2 linked regions of the Drosophila melanogaster genome follow. Changing the gene in region 1 together with any one later gene gives a genetic interaction. Each region holds a gene or a part of one and is shown in the gene's direction. Other genes may lie near its edges.

Region 1 (7,616 bases):
TAGGCACATTAAATGGCATTACTATTGCATGCTAATCGCATTGTGCAGCCTGTTTGTTTTCCACTTTCCACGATGTAACCATTTCCCCCGACATCGATAGCCATGGCTTTTCCATCGAATCCCGCAAACGAATCAATAGTTATCACTACCTTTAAAACTGGCAAACAGATTAACGCAACGCCATTACATTAATTTGGGGTCGGAAAACAAACGGAGTGGGATATTTCCGGTTTTCAAACTGATGATAGGTTGTCTAAACGCGCACAGATCTTAGCTAATTCAGTGGGCAAACCAGCCTAGTCAATCAGATTTAACAGCCATAATTGATCTGAACAAAGGAATGCTTTATATCTTCGATGTTAACAATATTCATATGTATATTATTTGCGTCATTTCATTTAACTTGTCTCCAGTGAAAACTTCAAAGGGAACTGATATTTTTTTTTTTGTTTAAACAATTAGTTATGTTATGGCAAAATAATAGGGATTTAATTGCAGGCAAAAAAGTTTAATACAATCAAGAATTGCAAATTAATTAATGCATTGCAATGCCAAGCGAATAGATCGACAAAAAATAAAACAATTAATTAAACAACTAGCAAGCAGATAATCCAACAGAATTTTAATACGCACAGCGTACGGTTGCCGCTTATTTTCTACGCTTTTTTTTTTGGTAACTTTTTTAGGCCAGTTATGACTGACTCATCCCGCAAAGTTCGGCTTTGGCAATGGAAATTTTTCACCTGAACTTGGGCTGTTAAGCACTTTGCATTGTCGTTCATCTGGGCAAGCCGAGGGTTAAAAAAATCAGGTAAGGCGTGTATTAAAACGACCTCCGTGATATGTCAAGCGAGCAAATATGTATGTACATATGTACATACATAAATGTCATTTTTCTACAAGCAGCTAAAATCAGTCTAAAATCTGGAAAACTTGCGCATAGAACACTTACACTTATGTATGTCCCGTGTTTATAATAGACTCTTTTGTATTCCTTTTTTTTTTGTACAAGTCACTAATTACTCTGCTCGGGGTTTTTTGTTTTTTTTTTTTTTGGAGCAAAGGGGAATCAGCAGACAGAGACAGCATCTGAAATGGAGAAAGAATAAGTGCTTTTTTCTTTGCTGTGAATTGCAAGCTATGAAAAATATATGTATGTACGTATATTTTTATTTGTGAGTACTAACAGCCGGCGGCGAATGCGTAAATGTCGTATAATTTAGTGCCACAAAGCAAAACTTTTAATATCTAAACCGGAAAGACAGCCGGCAAAAGTTCGTTGGTGTGCACATGCTCTATGTATGAGAAAATGTCTGCGTCTAAAGGCGTTTTTGTTTAACTCCCTTTTGGGGGAATGTCACAAATGGTATCTGATTTTTTAAGTTTTAAGGGGTCATTGTCGTAAAAGAATATCATATATGTATGAATATTTAAAATGCACTTAATCATTCGAGTCTTGCAGCTAAAAAGCGGCTATCCTTGCCACTCTCTTATTCACATTTCAACATAAGAATCATAATGTTGTTTTCATTTTGTATTTTTACTTTAAGGCAACCATTTTAACAGTTTTGGCTTTAAATATTTTAGTGTATAAAGAGAAGATTTTGAAGGTTAAGTCGTCGCCTAAATGTTATTAAGCTTCCAAGAGTATTGAAATACCTCGTTGACAGAACTTAGATCCACAATTTGGCCAAGTTGGGGACACAAAAAGCACGTGAAAGGTGCAGGTACACAAATTAACAAATCGGCAGAATTATAAAGCTAACCCCGGAGCATTATCCGTAATTGTAGCCATGTCCACCGTAGGTCAGTCTACGCAAAAAACACAACCTTTTTGTTAGACGGGTCAAAAAGCTGGCTGCAAACAGCAGTCAAGCCATCAGTAGGAACATCAATAATCATTAGACTTGGATTCGTTGGCATTTGCCAAGTGATGGTGGCGGGGAGGGGGGTGTGCAAATGGAACGGAGTAGGGTGGGGGGGAAATCGTATTTATTTTTAATTAAAGTGCAACTGCCGACCGACTGCGGCTGGCTTTGCTCAATTTACGGGGTTTGCTCTCAAATAGTTCATGACGATGCCAGACCAGAAAACCAGAAAAATGCCGCCAGTTTGTCATCGCCTCTCGAACTCGACAATTTTGTACCGCAGTCAAGCGCAAAAATTCCTCGAAAAACCATAGACCAAGGTGTTTATGAGTTTATTAATACTGTGTAATTATTATTTGTGATATATGTGTGGGAAATTGGTAATAGATCAAACATGAAAGTAATGGTATCTGTTTTTCTGTATTAAAATAACATATCTGATAATTTCCTAAAGGATGTTAATGTTAATTTAATAGGTATTCCAAAACTAAGAGTGAACTGGCAAAATGTAAAATTAGTTGGTATTTCCTTTTGAATAAGCTTGACCTTTAACTTACTTCATAGCCTATGACAACTCATATATTATAAATATAAATAATAATAAATGAGTGCTAATAATAATTTTTAATCAAAAATTCTCACAAGCTAACCTTGTAATGATGGTACGCCTAACTGATACCCATTATGTTACCATGGCCAGGCATAAATTCCTGTTACTGGCACCGCATCATCATCATACTGGCATTCGGTCATATTAAAATAATATCACCTATCTATAGGGCTGCGGCTCTTTTGACACGCACACGTGCTGCTCAGCAGACCAAGTGAACTTATCAATGAACACCCGCCACACCCACACGGTGGCCCAAGCACCTGACCCACCCATGCCCAGTGGCCAGCACCACCCGAACTCGCAGAAGCCAATGAATGGCCGGCAGACCAAGAAACACCCACTAACATCTCGGGAGATTCTTCGTCTGCCGAGTTCAAGAACAACACACAAGTGGCCGTAATGAAATGTGAATAGCCTTGGCAAACATGAGTCCGGAAAGCCAACTTATGATGGCTTCTGAATAGCCAACCGCATAGTACACGGCTAAGAGCGGGGACCAAAAAAGGACCTGCTCTTTGCTCGCTCGTTGGCTTTCTCTTTCGCAGCCTCGGCTCGGAAAAAGGATGCCGACAAGCAACAATTTTCATTGATAAAAACACCAGCTGCTGGGTCCTGAAACTCAGTCGTACGCGAGTCCTCAGTCAGTCAGTTTCGAGCTCTGGGATGCAACGGATGCGGATGCCTTAAATCCCCGAGCCGTTTGGCGGTGTTATTGAAAATTGCGTATTCGCCGCGTATTACCAAGTAATAGCTTGTCCAAAGCCACTACGCTGTCAAAGGACGGGCTTAAAACGCTACTTGCATTTTTACGTACTATACATAGATAAATTTTCCGGGTAATCGGCGGAAATTGAGTTAAAGTTTTGTGTCCGGTTGGCGCCAGTTGGCAATTGGTGCTGGCCAACTTTCGGACCCGAACGATGACAAACTGAAAAGTAAACTTTGTAAAGACTCAGCACCTTACAAACAAATTCAAGTGTTTCGCGAAAAAAAATAAAAAATTTTGAATTGAAGAGGACACAGTTCGGTGAAAAAAAAATATTTGCAATGCACAATGGAAAATCAGCAAAGTGACCTCCAAGTTTACGAAAACAGAAACTAACTCAATAACCATCCCTGCAGGTGAGCAGAGGCAACATTTTTTCTTTAAAACATTTTTTACCATATTTCCGTAAACGGTTTGCGTCCTTTGGCAAATTTATGGTTGTCTTGGAATAAAATGAACTTTATTTACTTGGCAACAAAACGAGTGTTTATTCTTGTCGCATAGGGAATCAAGCAGCCAACATAAGGACTATATTTTGTTTAATTCGATTTAATGTGAGTTGCAGAATTAAATTTCTTTTTAATTCAACACGCATCTGTACACCATTTGTAAAATTACAAGCTAAAGCTCAGCAAACACTAAATTTTAATCAGTGAAACGAACTGTATTCTGTCAATTTTAATATCAAAAGCATATACATTGCTCTTAAAAATATTAAACTGCGTTAGTAACGTAAACAGAAAATGCTATGAAATTTGTTATAATCAAAATTCACTTGAAAGAGATTTCAACAAAATTACCAATCTCGTGTTCTAAGGAATTAATATAATAATTATAATAATATCATAGCTTGTTCCCTGTCACCTAATATATACCATTTAAATAAAAGTAATGCCTAGGTAATTGTTTGTGAGCGATAAGCGCAGATTTGTCTGCATAATTATGTGTTAATTTGATTGAGGTCTACTGAAGAGGGCCTTATTTTTATAAGCCAAAAGAACAAATTCAAACAAAACACTTGAGGGCGGCCTTAGCTGGCAATAAGCGGCTTTTGCCTAATGGAAAATAAGTGGAATGCCTAGGAATTATTGGCCAAGTGGACGGGCTGCTCTCTTTCTGGCAATCCTGAGTCCTTTCGACTGATTCGTTTTTGGCTCCTTTGGCCCCATCTCCGCACGCTTTGTTCGGCTTGACACACCTGAGTGGCGATGTTCCACACAGGCACTTTCCCAAACAAATGGAACCCGGCATCTCGCATTTGGTTGCCCGAACGTAAGTCCCATGAAGTGGTCTTCTCCAGTGGACAGCCAGTCAGCCGCATTTCTTGGGGGCGCTCTTCTCGAGCGCTTGGCCTCTGAGATGGCCTCTTTGGATGTCTTGGAGATATGCAGCTCATCCTGGCCACCCACTTCGCCGAGCCATTCCATTTCATTTCCCTGGCCAACATACCCGTATGAAACGATGAGTGCTCTTCACAGTTTTTGCCTACATTCCGGCCACTGCACCGACTGATGGTTGATGGAGACCCATTCTCCGGTTAGTGTTCGTCTTGGTCGTCTTGGTCTGGGTCTCGGTCCTGGTCACAATGGGAATTCGCAGCTTAAAGGCGCCGTGGCTTTATTCAGGCCAGATTGGATACTTGACATGTTCTAATGCGGCGCAGATCTCAGTTTCTGCAACGTGCTCTCCCTATCTCAGTTACATGAATTAGCATTCATCGCCACTGCACTGAGCAAAAAATAGGACCACAAATCGCTCTAACTGCTGTAAATTGATATCCATTCAATTATTTTATTTAAGTATTATAACACATTGATAGAACATTAACATGTCATATATTTTTGAACACAATTCAGCATTACACTTTAATAAAGTCGAATTTGAATTTATCCAACTGACGCGTTGGGTGATATCATAAATTCAATTTCGAGAATGACAGGTCATTAAAATGTTGTCACCTACACTGTCAAATATTTAAGTCAAAATATTAAGTTATAAAATATCAAAAAGCTTTGATAGCTTTAGAGTATGATTTACGTTTAAAAGGATTGTACACGAATACAATTTTGTTTTTTTAAGCAATCAGCGGCGTGTTTCTGTTTTGCCATCATAAATCGCAGAGTTTCATAATCCCTCTAAATTAAAATGTCCTTTGGGATTTTTCTGAAATTTTTTTCAAACGCTTCCCCCTTTTTGTTTCCTGCATGTTTAGGCCGTTAAGAGCCTGTTGATGATGGCGGCATGGTAGAACTTTCTGTTTTGTCACAGCCTTGGGCTGCTGGCTTTACATTTGGTGGAAAAACGAGACCAGCCGAGCACGTGCGGTCCGCGGGGTTGGGGGGGGTTGTGGAAGCTAAGGACGTGGCAGGACGAAAGCGCTGAGTGCAGATGAGGACTGCAATAAACTGCCATACATAAGTGAAAATTGTGAAATGAAAACTTGCGCGAGCATAAATCAATACACCCAAGGGGGGTCATGGGCTCCCATGGCAGGCAACAAAAAAATATATATGTATATATATCAGCTGGGAAATGTGCTCCCTACTCAGGTTTAGCGACTTGTATTTCATGTTCCCAAATCAGCTGGTGTTATCCTTTGATTGCCGGGCACACGACAAAAGTGGTGGACCAGGACACATGTGATGATTGCTTGCGTGGGTCGCAGGAATGAGCCAACTCAGATTGGTAATATTGTGTATGAACGTGATTTCGTGACTTTGCAATGTTTCTATTTAACAAAAACTCTTGTTAAAGAAATACACACAAAACATCACTTATAACCCTTTTTGGATATCTATGAGGATTTAAGGTTTGTAAACTAAGGCAATGGTATACCTTAAAAAGTCTATAGTAAATCGCATATATTACATCAATTTTAACGTTCATGCTGATCTTCCAGTTCCAAAATATATATTTTGAAATAGCTTACATTTAATTAAGTGCACTTGCTATAAAAGTTTTGAGCTTGCCTGAAGTTTATTACATAAAAAATTCGCAGAAAGGCGGCTAAAGAATGAAACTAATTTAAGCCCAAATGATAAACTATTTGCCAAGCATGTTTCGTTTGAATTATGCTCCCGTTGCTCTGCCTACCAAAAATGGCAAAAACTCGCAATATGATTATTGTGGCAGCTTCTTCCGGTGAATTAAAAATACAAAAAACCAGCTCAAATTGAAACTTAATTTTAATAAATTGTTTTCATGCTCTTTTTCGCTGCCGTTGTAGCGTTTTCCCGCCCATTTCACCCGAGTGGCTGGATAATTGTATCCGCGCAATCATCCCGCGGCTTCCATTGCCGCAGGATAAAAACCAAACTGCAACGAACAGAACAGAACTGAGCACTTTAAGCCATTTCCACTCGTAATTAAATTTTGAGAGCGGATGAAATTGTGGCGGCTAAATAAAAGGAACAAAATGCATCTGTGCATACAGCAAAAAAAAAACAGCAAAAATAAATAACAAAATGCAGAAGAGCAAAAAATCGCGCATATCCGCTTTGTAAAAATACGAGTCTAAGTGATGGGTTCCGTTTTTGTTTAGTAGTGCTCACTAGTGAACGGCCTTGTCGCATTTGGGGCTGATAGTGGATGTAGTGTGGGGTGTATTGTGGTGTGCATGGGGGTGTTTGAATCGCAGAAGTCGGCCCAGCCCGTTGGCCGTCAAGAGGACCTGGCCTAATCGAATGAATGTAGAATGGGCACAAACAAGTCACGCCTGCCTGCGCATTTCATCAAAGAACGGCGAACAAGAGGCTAACAGCTCTTCGTTTCTCTCTCTCTTTCTCTGCTCAGCTGGGTCCTTTGAAGATCCTGAATGACACTCAATTGGCCTAATCGGTTTCTGAAAAGCATAGTATGAATTTCATACGGTACGCTAATTTCGAATATAACAAAAAGCAAAAACGCTTTTGATATCTAAATTGTATTTGCCATTGAAAAGTTTATACCTATATGTATAATATGGAACCTTTCTAAATATAGTAATTGATACGAAATTGCAAAAATGATGGATGAACATCTCAACATTCAACAGGTTGCCCAGTTACTTAATCAATCCATCGGTGTTGAAAGTGAGCACTTTATACAAAAATACTCATGAGTGGTTCTAAAGCGGATAAGAGGATTTATCTTGAGCTCAAAAACTGATGCAGTGATGCAATATTCAAGATGTGTGCCTTAGTATTCAACATTTTTGCCAGATTTATCGAAACGTAAATAAATAAAAATATACATGAAATTTAATAACATTGCGCAGCTTTTTGGTGAAAGCAGTTTTAATTTAATAAAGCAATCGTTGCGTTGAAACTAATATTATTTTAAATTATACAGGATACAAAAAATAATATACATATACATTTAAATTTTGAAT
Region 2 (9,682 bases), on another chromosome or scaffold:
ATGGAATTAAAAGTTAAAGGTGTGGAACATTTTTATAATTCACGGCACTTAAGATTGCATTTTTTATTTTCTTAAATAAAGAATAAAGGAGTACGTTCCTTTTGTAAGGCTCTAAGCCCAGGACTTGTTTATAATTTTGTTACTTTTTGTTTATTTTTGTTTATTTTTGTATTTCTGTATCAAAGTTAAGCGCACTTAATGACAACTAATTGTTAATCATCTCTGATTGAGCAGGCACACCTCCCCCACTCCCCGCCTCCAGTTGAACCAAGTTGGTTAGCTCATTTTAGCCGGCATGGTAGCTAATATGACCGATTGGCATTAACATGTTGAATGACTTGAGTGGCAGCATAAAAGCAAAGCGCAGCCCAAACCAGGAGAAGCCCCATCGGTGCAGCCCGAAAAGTATTTCATTGATTTTAGAAGCCTCGCCAATTCACAACGGACTACAGAGCGGCGAAGGCAAAAGAAATGGAATGAAATGAATTGAATTGAAATGAAATGAAATGTGCTCGAACACGAAATGCAGAATGAAAATGAGTGAAATTTGCCTCTCAAGTTGCTGGTGGCAACATGGGAAACGTACGCAGGGATGGGCAGCATCATGTCCTGGCATTGTTAGTCAATTGAAATGCGCAAAACAAACACCAGCTAGCAATGAGCGTTCTGGCAAACAAATCCACGTGCGATGATAAGGTGGTTGGTGGATGGGCTGGTGTGATAACAGGTCCCTCTAAGAGGGGGTGCTCGAATATGTTTACCCTGCGGCTTAATTTGTAGCAAACTCTTGAATTCTTGAATTGCGGTCAATCGAGAGATGGGAAGCAGTTTGATCAGCTGACACCTGAACGCACCACCTGAGTGGAATCTCTGGCTAATTGTTATTGATACCACCGGATTGCCTGGCTACCAGCTCGCAGCTAGCAGCTAGCAGCTCAAGGATCGCATCCTAATCCATTCTGACAATCGGCAGCAGAGACAGGCTCATGTCCTTAGCCAAGTTGTTGACATGAAACTGATACTTGAAGCGAAGTAAAAAAAAAAAGAAATATAAAAATTGAAAACTGGTTCGAATCTGCTCAGACTGTGGATCTGATTTTAACACACACGACGCTGGCTGGGCTTGACCTGAAATTCCCATCGATAAGGTAAGGTGATATGGGGGATATAGCTCGATACGTATGCGATCACTGCAAGCCTTTGCACTCAACTGATTTTGCCAATTGGCGGTGAATTCGATTTCGGGCGTGTGAACCAGGTGATCGATCCGAATTGGGATCTCTTCATAGCATTATATCTATAATATATCTTAGCTAAATATAGTCGAGTTGGGCTTAACACATCTATTTCATAATTTCCATTTGCTTTTCCATCTGGCCTGCGATTTATTCCTTGCTTTTTCTGCTGCGACCACAAATCGAACTATCAAATAACATTCAAACTATTCACGATTGTCGGCCCGGCGACAAGAGCATCGATCGATTGGCAGTCGTCATTGGCCGGGCTACAATTGAGAATCAGCGCCGGAGATAGAGATACAAAGATACACGCAACAGAAGCAGATACACACGGCCAGATACGCAGATACAAGCTACAGAAGCAGTCAGGGGGTTGCCGGCCGACTTGGCCGATGGACTGCCTCACTTAACCACAAAACAATGGAGCGAAGAGGAAGCAGAATGCCGACGAAGACGATCAATGGTTGGCAAGTCCGTAGCAACTGTCCCTCCCTCATCAGAGACCCTGCCAGAAAATTCCCATTTTAATATGTGAATTACTTTATTTTCAATACTTCTTGTATCATATTTATATCATACCAATTACATTGTTTATTAATAATCCCTATAGTACTTTTTGTTTATTATGTAATAAAATTACAATACCTTTATTTTAAGAAAGTAAATAATATGTTATATATCGAAAATATTCACTAATCACAAGCATATCAAATAGTCTCAAGTGATTTGATGTCCTCTTAAGAATTTAGCGACAATCTGCGGTTGTGCATCTATAGATTTTAAGGAAAAGGAACTTCATATCTTCTTTTCAACAAATAAAGTGAGGATACTTGTTTGTGAATTGAAAACAACGTTATTTGAACGGCCATCGATTTTGAAGTGTAACATTCTAGAGCACTAGAACTGCTTGCTAGCGATTATTTCTCGAAGTGTACTCTTTTTTCTCCCCGCCTCGTTGGTATCTGGTGTCGAGCTGTAAGATATTGGGTGACAAATAAAAACTACTGAAAACTGCTGCCGATGTAGCTGGCCACGTATGAATGGGCCTGAAACTCGGACTGGGCGGGATCGGCAGCGGAGGAGTCGGATATGGAGGCGAAGGCGAAGGCGGAGGAGGGTGACTTTGGATTTGGATGAGGATGTGGACGTGGAAGCAGCAGAGGGGTGGGTAGTAGCCGCAAAAGCCGGCAGACGGAGCGCATTGGTTGGCCAACAACGATGACGGCAGCGTTGTTGTGGTGGTGGATGGATGGAATCTCAGGAGTGGGCATGGGATATAGTGCGGGATGGCTTGGTGTGGGTATGGTATGGTATGGGTTTGGTATTGGAGGAGGGGTGCTTTCAGCAAGGGTCTCGAGTGTGTAGTGCTGCGTACTTGTGTCATTATAGCCGACCAAAGTGTGAGTGCGAGCGAGATTGTTGTTGCCGTTGTCTTTTGCGCCCTTTTGTCGCTTGTTTATAATTAAGTGAGTATGTTTTTTGCGCCCTGCTGCTTCCTCTGTAGTTGTCGGTTGTCGCTTTGCTGCCGCTCTGCCAATCCGATATATCAGTCGATTTTGGGCCGAGGTGGCTCGAACCGAACTGCAACTGACAATTAGTCGCCGTCTTATGCTCCTCGCCAAAAGTCGCTTCTTGCCCCGCACTCGAAAAATCGAAAACTGAAAACGCATAAAATTCAAATCGGAAAACAACGATCGTGTGTTACTACTTAAAACCGAGTCTTCGAAAAAAAAGTTACAAACATATTTTGCAAGAAAACGTTGAAATTCTATTGGTGATCTTGGTATCATGCCATTTGTGGATCTATTCAGAAGGTGAAAACGATTAAGAGTGCATATGTGAATAAAGAACGGAATAAACAATATTAAATCTGCAATAAAAAAGAAGAAAGAAAAAATGGAATACAACTAATGTATTTGAAATAAAACCTAATAACTGCAAATAGCTAATTAAAATGTCCTAACAATGTTTTGGCTAAGATCGAAAAAATCAATTCACTAAGAAGATTTTATCAATTTAACAATATCATAGCTTTGATCTCATTAAAAAGAAAAACAAAAATTTACTTTGATTTGCATGCATAAATTAGTTAAATAGCAATTTTAACGTTTTGTTTCTTTCAAAATGAAAGTTATTGTAATTTTAGTATAATTTTTTAGTCCTAACAATAATGAAACAATCGAATTGAAATCCATCTTCGTCATAAGAGCGATCTATAATTCGATATCTCTTTTAAATTTAGAGGTGAAGAATCTGTCATATTGTGTATCTAATTTCTGATTAGCTGTCGAACTTTATTTAAAACTGAATTTATTAACACTTTATTGAAAATATATGAAGATTAGATTTGATATTGGTATTTGATTGAATAAATAATAAATTGAATAATAGATTTGAATAAATGAATAGAAAGTGAATCTTAATTAGAATTTACCAATAATGTTCCGTCATCGCCTTGCAGTTGGAAATTAACGCATCAAGATGAAGCGTAGGAAAAGCAGGAACAAATGCGCGACTGCTGAGCCCAAACGTTCCAGAAGTGGAGTCATGTCATGGGATTGTTATATAAGGGTTCCAAACTCCTGAACACAATTCTGGGTGAGTGAAATCGGAAGCACCATTGCACAGATATGCAGATACAGCATATTGTATGGCGATACACGGATGGAAAGTCGCGAGTCGAGAGAGCAAAGCAAATGGCGGTCTCTCGATTTGTGTATTTGTGTGTGTCTGTGTGTGTCTCGAGGGGCGGAGCTAGTGCGCACAGTGGTTGTCATGGGAGCAAAAATGTATCCATGAGATACGCGCTGCTGGCGAGCATCTCTGGCGTACTTCCAGTGATTTTCATGCTGTTCTTTTTTTTTTTTTTTTGGCTGCGCAGATTCCCTGGAAGATCAAGAGGGTGGAGCTATGTACATATCGTGCGATGTCTCAAACGGCGGTCCTGTGGAACCAGAGACGGGCTATGTGCCCAACAATCCCCTGTTCGGCCTGGCGCTGGACAGCCCTCAGGTGAGTCCTGGAATCCTTTTTCGATTTCGCCTCAATATCTCCGGAAATCTTCGAGCGTTCGGTTGTGCTTGTTTCGTGGAAAGAACTTAGCTGAAATCTGTGATATACCTGAACTATTTAAATTTTATAACCAGGAAATAGAACCCAATACCGAAATTGTGGTTATTTTAATTTGCTATATCGGTAACTGAAAAATCAGACAGTTTTGTACTAAGAAGTTTATCATTTTCGTTTTTAAAGTAATCTATTACATTTTTAACCCATACGATTTTATCTATTGGGAAGTTTAATAGCTTAGAAATTCCTTCCATATGTAATACAATTAAACTCTCCTCAGAAGTCAGTATTAGAATGTAAAAATAGTTAAAATTTACTAAATGTTTCCACTAACTAACTAATTATTTTGTCTTAGTTACGTATTAGTACTAACTGAATGTATTTCATAACCGGTCTCAATCTCCATTTCCGTTTTCGCTCGTGCAGCAAGAGTGCGCCGCTTCCTGCGTCGGCTGCCTATCCTGCCAGGGCAGCACCGCCCTGCCCATCTCCTCGCTCACCAGCAGCGACTTCGACTGCGGCGGCTGTTTCGATCCCACGATTGGAGTGGGCGTGGGCATCGGTGGCGGCCACATCCAGATCAGCACGACACCACCGGCGAGCAGCGGCAACGGGAGCAGCAACAACGGTGCCGGAGGAGGCTCCTCGGGTAATCACGGCTACTGGAGCACCGACGAGATGGCTTCCACATTTCCCGGCCTACCGCCGCTGGACATCGATCCGCTGCCCAGCCTGTTCCCATTCTCGCCCTGCGGCGCTTCCTACAACTTTGCCGCCGGCAATCCGCACCAGGCCGCCTCACTCTCCTACACAGTGCATCCGCACCAGATGCTCATTTCGCCGAACTCCCACAATCATGGCCAGATGCACTCGCAGCACCAGCAGCACCAGCACCAGCAATCCCAAGTCCAGGCATCGCACGTAGGCAACTCTCTCCTCCAAAGCAGTGGTGGCAACAATATCGGCAGTAATGGTAGTGCCGGAGGAGTGGCCAACGCTGCCAGTTGCTACTATGAAACCAGTGCTGGAACGGCCGCACCACCTCCTCCTCCGGCGGCAGCCATGTATCCCAGCATGAGCGTGAACGTCAGCATGAACATGACCATGCACCATGGCTACGGTGCCGGTGATGCAGGCGGCGTGCCAATGCAGTGCTCCCAGATGAACTGGACGCCACCCAGTAACTCCACCTCGGCGGCAGCAGCAGCAGCGGCGGTAAATGTGCTATACCCACCGCTGCTGAGTCCCGGTCACTATCCTGCCTCGGCCACATATTCCTTTACAGCGGATTTTCGGGCACCGGCTCCCACGGGTCTGGGTGCCCTGCCACCGCTGACGGTGGGCGAAAAGGAGTCGCCATCGCCGCCGGCCAACTCCTCTTTGGCTGGCTACTATCCCACGGGGGTGGGCAATCAGGGATACACACCGCCCCACAAAAGTCCCACCAGCTATCAGGCAGCCGCCCTGGGCTTAAGTCTATCCGCCTTCGAGGACGAGGAGGATAGCAACGAGGATCTGGACGGCGATGAGGGCAGCAGTGGCGGCGAGATGAAACCCAATCTATGCCGGTTGTGCGGAAAGACATATGCCCGGCCCAGCACGCTCAAGACCCATCTGCGGACCCATTCCGGCGAAAGACCCTATCGATGCCCCGACTGCAACAAGAGCTTCTCGCAGGCAGCCAACCTGACGGCTCACGTACGCACACACACCGGCCAGAAGCCGTTCCGCTGCCCCATCTGCGACCGGAGATTCTCGCAGAGTTCCAGTGTCACCACGCACATGCGCACCCACTCCGGCGAGCGGCCGTACCGCTGCTCCTCGTGCAAGAAGTCCTTCTCGGACAGCAGCACCCTCACCAAGCACCTGCGAATCCACAGTGGCGAGAAGCCCTACCAGTGCAAGCTCTGCCTGCTCAGGTGAGTCCGGGATGGGGGATTTACTTACACCGTCCTTCCTCATTCCTAAACGAACGAAAATGGTTTTGCTTTTACTTTTACGTAAACCCTTAAAGCTTTAAAGATAGTTTAATAATTTCTATCGTTTCAATATAAAACTAACAACTTGAACAAAACTGAGACTGTTGCAAGCTTAAAAAAAAGGAAAACCAAAGATAATATGCATCATTCATTTTCATTCATGCATTTTCGTAAGATTTTCAACTTCAACTAAAGAACTGAAATTAAATGAAATAATAATTGTTTATTCAAATGTAATGCTAAAGATGAAAATTACCCCTTAAAAAAGGCTTAGGCCCCCAAAGAGCAGTCCTGGAACGTTATACATCGAGTTAATTGCTTTTTTGGTGTCCACAGATTTTCGCAGTCGGGGAACTTGAATCGGCACATGCGCGTCCACGGCAACAACAACAGCAGCAATGGCAGCAATGGGGCAACCGGAGTTGGTGGAGAGTCCTCCACCGGCAGCGGAGTTGGTGGTGGCAACAGCCTGCTCACATGACAAAAGCCAAGGAGTGCAGGAGGTTTCCAGCATTACCACCCCCCGCACACCCACCACATGCACCACCAGCACCACGCCCATCACCATCACCACGCCCACATGGGTAACTACGACTACGGGAACTACAGCATCGGCGATTATACTCCACCCGGAGCCACACAAAACTATTCAGGGTATTATTTCTGCGCACTCAACAAGGCGCCCAAGTTCGAACGATTCTACTAGGGACTAAAATCTGGAGGATCCCATCTGGATAAGAAACCTTAAAGGAGGACCACTCAGTGAATTATACGGGGATAGTCACTCTATCGCTGATAAATACAATAATGTATATGCCATACTCAACATTGCTGTAGAAAAATAATTTGGGTTCGTGTTAAATTGAAATCCTAATTGAACATAACGATGTAATAATACTCATAACCCAAATCCGCATCCAAATGCAGTTAAAAATGCTCAAACAATACAAATCTGAGGAATCGCGGAGAATCGAACAAAAGTAGGCCTAAGAGCTGCACTGTACATACTTATACATACTATATTTATTATATTCGCTTAGCCTAATATGCATTGAATCCAAGTTAGTTCATCCATTAAATAAGGTAGTTCAAAACACGCATAAATCTATTCCAAATTAGCCAACGAAATAGGATTTAAGACGGATATGAGTATGAATCATAAGACCAAACAACACAGCAGCACCCAAAACGAGAATATTTAAATTGGAATTGCCAAGGCATTAAACCCATAAACACCTGTATACGAATATAGAGTCCTAAGCTTAAACTAGACGTAGATGTAAGACAGGTGCTTTGATCTAAGCCAATTTTGGAGTATATAAAGAAAATAATAAATATACGAAAATTAAATACAGTAACTAATTGATTTCAACAATTGAAATATTATATAATTTAGGTAAGGAATTCAAAAGGCTTGACATTTAAACAATATTATCAACTAGGTAAACGGCTTCTGTGTCGCCTCCGCAGACCAGACGACTTCCATGCACATCGAAGGAGTTGATGGACTTGCGAACATTACTCAGCACTCCCTCCACATCGACCAGGGAGCGAACACGATCGCCAGACAACCAGGGGCTGTGTCCGTCTTTGTTATAGTCGCACCCGAGAACTTTGTTCTCTGACCACATCCACACCTCGCCACCTTCTGCGGCGGTGAACAGTTTGCTGGGATCCTTTTGATGGAAGCCTATCTCGTTGATGGGACTTTTGTGAGCGCTGAGATAGGAGGCGGGATAACTGAGGTTTCGCATATCCCAGACGGTTATGGAACCCTCTTCGCTGCCGCAAAGTAAAATATGTTGCTGCATCGGATGCTTGGCAAGGGACGAGACAAAGTTCGACTTGTCATCCTGGGAGGCCACCATAAAGGTGGTCTTCGGCTGCGCTTCAGTGGCCACTCGGGCGTCCAGCATTCGGATAACACCCATCCTATTGGCAGTCACCAGTTCCTGCTGGCTGATATAGCAAATGGAAAACAGCGCCATGCTGTCCGCCTCAATCTGTCGCTTCACCTGGCGCACATTTTCCACGGAGACGATGCTTACACACCCATCCTCGCCGGCGGTGGCGATATCCGTGCCGTAAACAGAAAGGTCGGTGCAAGGAGCGGGCTCCTGGCTACGTTGGAAGCAGTGCAGACGTCCCGATCGGGACGTACGTTGCATCTGATCCTCCTCCACGGCTCGATGGACGTTAAACACGCTGAGATGACCTTGTTTGGTATTAAAATAGACATTTATTTAGCTGAGTTCATGATTGCTGGAACTTGTAACTGACCATCGGCACAGCTCACAGCCAGCGTGTCCTTGTCGACGAACTCCATGGCGGTCACATCGTCCTCCATTCTCACCTTGTCCATGCAGCGAGGTATCTGGTCCACTTCCGAATCCGTGGCGGTGACATATTGGTTCGATTGTAGCCGCCAGAGGCGCACGAAGTTCTGGTCCATGTCCCAGCTTCCAGTAACGAACCGTTCGCTCTGCTGCAGTTCCTCCGGAAGCCAGCGCACTTGGGACACCTTCTCGGATATGTAGTGCGTGGAAACGTTTGCAATGGACATCTTTTCGTTGGATTTAGCAGAGGATTCGCGATGTAAACAAAATAATGCGGCTTTCGAGTTAAGTGTGACCAGAGCAAGAAGATCGCAACATATCTTAGCGGGAAACTTAATCTGGTATCTATAAATTGGGCAGGGCTGGAAACAAAAGCAGAAAAATTGTTATGTGGATCTATATTATGGTACTTAATGAGCTTATCTCAAAAACGATTGGTAATTCTATTATGAAATTTTCCTGAAATATCCTTTAAGGTGGTCAAGCTTGCACAGGCTCTGCGAGTGGAGATGTCCCCCAAAATGTGGGGCGCCAATTTTTCAATAGCATATTATATATACTTTCTTGAGTCCTATAAACTTATTTCGCACATAGATAGTTATATCTTTCTTTTCTTAAAAAAATTGCATTTTTAGTTTATCGAATTCACCTTGAAATAACAATAATATAAATAAATAAAAAACATTTCCTTGTTCCAAATTCTACCGTTCCTTCATAACTCATCAAGGCACTTATCGATTGTCACAGTATTTTTTCGTACTGTGGTGTTTATGTGCGCCTACCCCTCCATATTTTTGGCGGGAAATAATAGTAAACAAAGCATTTAAGAAAACGAACAAGCAACGCGGGTTATGGAAAAATATTTAACAAAAATGCCCATCAAATCAAAAGCAAATGAAGTTCCCAAGGAAGTAGGCTAATACACAATTTCGTGCAGGGATAAAAACTAACTTAAAAGTATTTGTAGGAGGCGGGCGTCAAAAAGGAGACTCCCAAAGTGGCAAGGAAAGCAACAAAAAAGGATACTCCAAAAGAGGTTTGCATTTGTTTATTATTTAGA

Evidence for each region. Genes that interact genetically often act in the same process or in processes that back each other up.
Region 2: of Rh7 (region 1) and gl, changing one enhances a phenotype caused by changing the other (phenotypic enhancement), as found in Drosophila melanogaster (one study listed by BioGRID).

What each region holds. Positions count from the first base shown.
Region 1 is NT_037436.4:12,171,006-12,178,621, reverse strand, and holds the start of Rh7 (rhodopsin 7), read left to right. Parts: upstream 1-3,139; 5' UTR 3,140-3,603; intron 3,604-7,616.
Region 2 is NT_033777.3:18,365,887-18,375,568, reverse strand, and holds gl (glass), read left to right. Parts: upstream 1-2,830; 5' UTR 2,831-3,052; intron 3,053-3,699; 5' UTR 3,700-3,790; coding exon 3,791-3,836; intron 3,837-4,119; coding exon 4,120-4,250; intron 4,251-4,733; coding exon 4,734-6,226; coding exon of another isoform or gene 6,227-6,230; exon of another isoform or gene 6,231-6,622; coding exon 6,623-6,767; coding exon of another isoform or gene 6,768-6,992; 3' UTR 6,993-7,642; downstream 7,643-9,682. Other genes in the region: Nup43 (nucleoporin 43kD), read right to left, coding at 7,708-8,501, 8,567-8,849; WRNexo (WRN exonuclease), read left to right, coding at 9,474-9,533, 9,590-9,658. UniProt on the Drosophila melanogaster protein: Transcription factor required for gene expression specific to photoreceptor cells.